Linked DNA regions of Coturnix japonica. The protein of the gene in region 1 interacts with the protein of each later gene in a pairwise test. Links are inferred from orthologs where the notes say so. Each region holds a gene or a part of one and is shown on either strand. Other genes may lie near its edges.

What was found.
Region 2: the proteins of SYNCRIP (region 1) and PRMT8 interact in binary tests that used the Homo sapiens proteins (3 or more experiments, as listed by UniProt). The link is inferred for Coturnix japonica from reciprocal best matches to the Homo sapiens genes SYNCRIP and PRMT8.

The regions. Positions count from the first base shown.
Region 1 is NC_029518.1:70,025,728-70,029,378, reverse strand, and holds part of SYNCRIP (heterogeneous nuclear ribonucleoprotein Q), read right to left. Parts: intron 3,273-3,651; coding exon 3,137-3,272; intron 2,265-3,136; coding exon 2,059-2,264; intron 1-2,058. UniProt on the Homo sapiens protein: Heterogenous nuclear ribonucleoprotein (hnRNP) implicated in mRNA processing mechanisms. Component of the CRD-mediated complex that promotes MYC mRNA stability.
Region 2 is NC_029516.1:68,118,305-68,121,955, reverse strand, and holds part of PRMT8 (protein arginine N-methyltransferase 8), read right to left. Parts: intron 3,263-3,651; coding exon 3,112-3,262; intron 390-3,111; coding exon 268-389; intron 1-267. UniProt on the Homo sapiens protein: S-adenosyl-L-methionine-dependent and membrane-associated arginine methyltransferase that can both catalyze the formation of omega-N monomethylarginine (MMA) and asymmetrical dimethylarginine (aDMA) in proteins such as NIFK, myelin basic protein, histone H4, H2A and H2A/H2B dimer.

The sequences.
Region 1 (3,651 bases):
CGCAGTTGGTTAAGGCTCAGAGGTTGTAACCAAGAATTCACCAATACACATCTAACAACAAATATACCCTGCTATTCGGCATGCAAATGCACAGCAGCATTGTGTAATAAATGCAGGACCCACTTGTGAACTGCTCAAGATTGAACTACCCCCAGAAAGTCTGAATCTGGTCCTTTTCCTCCTCCTACCTACAGCACAAGCACTTCAAACTCTGTTACTACATTCTCCAGGGGTTAGTATCCCTATTTCCTGCCCTATCATCTACCACACAGCCATGAGAACCAGACTTTATTTAGCTACTTAAGCTGCCAATCCAGCACATGCTCTGTACCCACAACCACGCTACAGAAATAATTTAAAACATGAGCAGCATCAAAATGCTGCTTAGGAGAAAACTATCAGCACAACTACTTAAAAGTTATAAAAAAGCTTTTTTGCTAGGTATTTCAAACATCACTTTCATACCCTGGCTAATTCAAGGTAAATCTGCCTTCAACACCATTTGCTCTTATGGACTTTATTTTCTAGTAGTTTGGATGAGAAAACTGCAGATCAAATAATTGCCCTGATAAAAGCAACCTTCTACTCTTACAGCACTCCTCCCAGAGCCTTCTACCAAAGGAAGCATACAAGAGTCAAGCACTCTCCCTTTGCTCATGAAGGGCAGTGGCTGGGAACACCGATAACCAACCTGTAGTTACAGAATCACAGAATTGTAGGGGTTGTGAGGGACCTCTAGAGATCATCGAGTCCAACCCCCCTGCCAAAGCAGGCTCCCTACACAAACCCTACACGGTTCCCACTTAAATATAAAGTAACACAAGGTATTGAAAGGGTGACACCTTAAAAAAATTATACGGGACAAAACACTACCAAGTTTTAATTTCTTCAGTCTTCCATTCCTTACACTTGCAAGTTTACCACAGAAAGACACTGATAGGGACTGATGTCCCTTCCACCTCCCACTTAACTATGTGACCAAGTCATCAGAGGTTCTTTAGTTTAACAGTATGTTGGATTAGGATGGCTCTCTTTTGAGCCAAGAAATTCAGACAGAGATGCAGGAAGTGCCACTCTCAACAGATTCTTTCCTGTTGCTGATCAACTACAATACATAGCAAGAAAAACAAAGCCTGAAAACAGGGTACTCCAAAATGCTTCTGCAATGCCCTTACTACAAAAGCAGATTATTTTTTTCCCCTAAAAGTGAGCCCCTGCTCCAGCCCTTTTTTCTTATGGACCAGCAAAGAGGAGATTCTCAGCCAAGTCATCTTACTAGGCCCAACAAAGCAAGACTCCAGCAAGTGATTTGTCTCAGGTGAAAATAAAAGCACGGGCAAAAAGCAAGTGAAGAGATGAGGATAAGAGCTAGCTATGAGTTTCTATCAAACAACCCAGCTACACAACAGAACTGAAAACAACAGACTTGGACATTATCTGATGGGAAGAAAAAAAATCAGGCAATCAATTCCTATGGCAAAATATCATATGTATAATGGAAGTGTTGCAGTGTACTTCACAATGTTTAGAGTTCAGACTTAAGCTTAACTGAAATACTCAAAATCCAGTCATAACATTTTAAGGAATTAACACTCTGCCAAAGTAATGAAGAAAGGAAAAAAAAAAATACATAGTTCAAAGTACAAAATAATTGGTCATCTTCTCAAAAGCTATTGCTACATCTCTGAAAAGTCCAATCTGCACATCTTAAATGTTTCACTTCTTAAGTTATAAACATGCATTTCCAGGGTTACAAATCATTCAGGCTTGTTCTCTGACCATAGCCAAATTTCTGTGCAATCAAATCCTAAACTACAAAAGCTATTTGTGTTTTTGGAGTCACTACATCCACTTCCAGAGGAGAAATTAAGTACACCAGCAGATGGACCAATTCTTCCTTGGGAGAATGAGATAACATCAGACAGTAGTTATTTAAAAATTCACATCTATATTCAAGAAGACTGACAGATGTTATTTAAACCTGGGCTAATATCAGGAAATACTTACTCTGGAACAAGGTATTTTAATTCTACTACGTTTCTCTTACAGCTTTATTACCTTTGCCATGACTTCAGGATCTGGGTCTTCTATAGGGTCGGCCCATTCAACTGTAACAACATTTCCCCAGACTTTCACTTTGCCGCTCATTAACCTACGTCTGGCTTGAGCAGCAGTTTTGTGATCTTCATATTCAAGAAAACAGAAACCCCGGTTCTTTTTCTTGTCATCAGGCTGATGATACAATATAACATCTGTAAGGCCCTCTGAAATTAAGCAAAGAATTTATTTGTTATAGCTTTAGTCTATGACTTGATGTTCACAAGTAGAGATTATGTTTCTGGGAAGTACACATCTAACTAGTGGTTCCAAAAAGCATGATCATGCTGGACTTTTGAGCCTATGAACATATTAAAGTTTCCACACTTTCAAGAGCAACATCTCCAAAAGGATGTTAGTCTATCCCAGCTTAGCAACCCTTTTATTAAGTGAGGAAAGCTTAGAAACTATGGAAGAATACCTTTCTTCTCACTGACCAGAGGAGAGAGGGCAGCCATAAAGTTGCATTTTGTAACTCCTCTCAAACCCCTATGTCACAACACTTATCAGCATGTGCTTTTTCCATGGATGTCCAAAGAACAGAAGGTTAAACTTGCATGATTTCAATACTTCTAAATTGTTTCAGTGTTGCTCCAGGAAACCTTAAGTACAGCATTCAGTAACAGAAACCATACAACATTACCTTTTCAAGTCTATATGCTATTAACAAAAATAGATCCTTATCAGAACGCTAGCAATTCTGAAGCACAAAACTAGTTATGTTCTCCAATCTGCTTCAGTTCTGTCTTGAAAAGTTTCTGAAATACCTGTTAGCACTGAAAGAATTAAACCACACGTTTGTTTGAATGGCCTTTCTAAACATTACACGTGTCTCAGTAAAACTGGACCTACACACCAAGTCTAATTACAGATTTCAGCCCTTGGCACAGTACATTAAACAACAACCCATAAATCCCCAAAGTCAAGGGAAATGCTGAGTCCTATCAGTCATCATCATTCAACAAGATAAAGATGGCAGAAAGTTCATTACTGATCACATCCGACACTTCCCAGCTCAATACAACAGTTACTGCGTTACCTGTTACTTTGCTGAATTCTTCAACAATTTGCTCCTTGGTTTTACTCTTAGGGATGGAACCAACAAAAAGTCTATTATTGGCAACAGAGATGCATACACCGATGTGTTTCCCAGAGCGAATTTCGTGATTGTTGTACTGAAAAAAAAACCACAGATAACCATTAGTTGGATAACTTTCATCTCCAACAGCAGCACTATCAAATACTTCACTTCTAAAAGTGTAACACCTAGTAACGTGGTATGTTCTTTGACATTTAGAACATTCTTATGAGATATACTCAATTACTTTGCACTATAACTGTGTTCCCTAGACTGCCTTCATGCAACAGCCAACAACTACCTTTGGTTTTTGTTCAAGCCTGTTTCTTAATACAAGTTTCTTTAGATTTTTTGTGGAACTATGAAAAGTTACGATTATGTCCAGCTCACAATGGGCAAGGGTAAGTAATCCTTTCACAGCAGCACAGAAAGAAACTCAAGTTCCTCTACAGATTGCATCTGTGAATTCTTAAACT
Region 2 (3,651 bases), on another chromosome or scaffold:
TTATTTCAGAGGGCAGTTGACTTGGTGATGTAGCTGGACAATTTCTTCCTTCCCTTGCTAGCTGCTTTGCAAGCTGTCTTCTGTAATGTAAGAACTAGATTATCATTACAGTCACCAGCTTTGGCAAAGCTATGAATACAGCTAATTAATAAAATACACAAATTTAGTGTTTTTTGCATACTCGTTTTACTTATACACATTTTATTTACTGCTGATTATCATTTGTCATCAGTAGAGCTGGAATTAGAAGCAATGATGCTGACTTACCACATTTTTTGCATTTGGTTTCATGGATATAGTCCCATAGATTTCTTCTCCTCGTCTCACAGTTAAATAGTCCTCTAAGTAGAAAACAGTTTGCTTCCAGTGAGTATAGGGAGCATCAGGTGCTAGAAAACATATATAGGCATTATTTAAAGAAATTTGGTCATTGTCTTATAAATCAAATGAAGATTTGCAAACAATTGAAAAAAGGCCTAGAATACTTTTAACTCATATACAATACACAGTTGAACTTAAGCAGGACAATCATAGCAACACAATTCTATTGACTCATAGTGGTATGTCATCTAAGTTTAACTGGAACATGTCAGAAGTGATTACACTCAGAAAGAGGGATTCCATGAAGAATATTAGGGAGTATGACAGGCACTTCCTTTATGTATTCCTATTAACTTACACACATTCAAGTTGGGAAAATCTTTACTGCTATGTAATTTGAATGTCAGAAGTATAGATTAATTCAAAAACAGAAAATCACAAAGGAATATGCATAAAATGCTAAACATGGTGACGAAAAAACCTTTGATTCATGATACTGAATGAATATAAATCAGATTTTCAGGAGAACATGTCTGGGGAAAGGGCATTTCAACCTCTTCTTTCTTTTTTTTTCTAACAGCATATGCTATGGATGATTGACAGAGATGGATACCAATCCAAATGAATTTCTAGTCTCACTTAGTAGAACTGCTTTGATGCCCTCTGAGTTTAGAACTAAATGACAGATTTTGCCAAGTGCTAGTCTTAGTTAAATCTGGGGTTCCTTTGCACAAGTATTTTAATTAATTAAGTTTATTAGAATTGAATGCTTGCTTTGGTTTGTCTTCATTTTATATTTTTATTCAGGACTGAGCACATTCTATTAAACTATTTTGTATTTAGACTTCTTCTTCCCCCCCAAAAAACCTCCATTGCTGTTCATTATATTTGGAGGAGAACAAAAATACTATAAATCCTGAGGACAGCAGCACACACTTTGCAATCATGCTTCAAAATTTCCAGTATTGCTCTACTTGCTGTTCAGAAATGCTTGCATTTTCAAGTTAGGGAGACCTGAGAGGGATTATCCAAAACTTAGAACTCTTGCCTGTTGTCCTAATACTACATTACGAAATGAAGTTAATCTCAAAGAGAGATGACAATGCTAAATCATCATCTAGTTTAATAGGAAGAAGTGACTGCCGCCAAAGAAAGGTGATCTTGTCCTAAAATAGGTGAGAACTGCCTTTTATCTTGTTTCAGTATAGGAGAATGTAAATGATGTTGCATACAGTTGGCCCCAAACTTCAGGGCAACTAGAGAGAAGTTCAATATCACTCTGACAACACCTACATAAAGCTGCAATTAGCACCTGCTTGTGACATGACTGCTTTTGGAATGACTGTGTGCCCCGGTGGTGCAGTGGTAGGAATGCCGCTTGCAACACCGTAGCCCCGGGTTCGAATCCCCCTTGTGGCGCAAGTGGTAGAAGTGCCGCGCTGCTGCCCAGGAGACTCGAATCCTGGGAGTTGGACTCGATGATCTCTAAGGTCCCTTCCAACCCGCACGAGACTGTGACACTGTGATACTGTGACTGTTTCAAGCATGTTTTTGAATGATGTAACCAGTCGTTCCCTTCTGCTTGTTAATGTATTACTCTAGTGTAGGAAAAAAGGAATTATTATTTTATTTTTTACTCTGCCTTGGCCATTAGTCTATTTGGATACTTATTTCACAGATTTCTTTCTATTGTGTAGGGCTGGCTGATCAGGAATTACTTTGTTTAATTCTGCTTTTACTACATCTCTAAACTTTAATTGACTGGTACTGTTTGTTTTAGTTGTCATTTCTCTTCAGCAAGTTTATTTTTTTCTGTTTTGCATATTTGTTTTTATCCTTGATTTAAATACAAAAGTTTAAGCAGTCCCTAGTGAATTTGCACTGGTAATTTTGCCTGTCATTGGTCACTGATACCTGTAACAGTGTGAGAAATATTGCACTGCAATGGCTTTATAGAATGACCAGGGAAATGTGTTTGATGAAAAAATATAAGAATCTGAGGTACCAAATAATAGCTTCCCTATGGTTATTCTAGAAGAATAAAACATAAGTTTTGACTCTTGGTGAAGAGCTGAAAGCTGCTGTAAGGGGAAAAAAACAGGAAAAAAGGGGGAAAAAAAAAGAAAATATTTCTAAAAGCTCATAACTTACATTAGATTCCAGTGACACAAATGGTGCGAGTAACAACCAGCAATTATTGCTTATTGTTCTCATCATTAAAGCAGTTACAAGATTTCTGCATTTCTTGCAAAACTGGTTTATTCACTCTGTCAAACCATTCCTCACAGGAATGGAATTATTCCTTTAAATATCTGCTCACCTAGGTAAGTTAGAGTTTCATGTATGAGTTGATTGAGCAAATTTACATAAGCAATATGTGTGTTATTGAAAAACTGATAATTTTGCTTTAGATTCTGAGAAAAGCAAGAAACATTTGTGGAGTTTCAGATTTCATGGAAGCTGGGACCTAGAGCTGCTATTTCTCACTGAGGCAACAATCCCTTAATTCTTGTTTCCTACAAGAAACATGATACAGGATTAGGATATAGCTGCTGATGAGCATGAACTCCAGGATTATAATTCTTTCTGAGCTGTAAGACTGGTAGCTATTGTGCCACTTCTTTTGCAGAATTCCTACAATTGTCCTTTCTCCATCCTGATCACTTCCATCAAGGTGTAGTTTTTATCACTGAAATGAAAACTTATTGTTACGGTAAACCCTCATGTACCATCTTACTGGTAGTACTGACAAACAGCTTGAAACAGAAATGGAACAGAAGTACAGATTACCTGTAGAAAATCCCATCTTCTTGTGGCACTTTGTAAATTCAATATTAAAATAGGTGACCAATGCATGAATGTAATCATTACGCTGAATTTGGAGGCAGAATGCTGAAGTAAATGCCAGTTCTTCAGTCTTCACTGTATAAACATCTACTTCCTGTTTTGAAGAGAATGAATAACTTTTTAGATTCAGATGTCTGTGACTAAGGTAATTGTTAAGGTGATGTACTTAAGAATTTTATTTAATTATCAACAACTAAGACAACTGGCAATCATTTATGATATAAGAAATTCATGGTACATTTTAATATATTAAATCATCAGTAAATGATCCAGTTACTGGCCTGAGTTGACAATATGATACGAGAGGCCAGTCATAGAAGAGTGTGTGCCCTTGGGAATGGGAGGGAGCAATGACGGGAGCTTGAGGAAATTAAAGTAAAATGATACTTTGACAAATATAGGTACAATGGATGTTGAAATGGTGATATGTAATCCAGTTTTAAGAACTTTCCTCTCTGGTACAGTCAGCATAAGAAAATATGA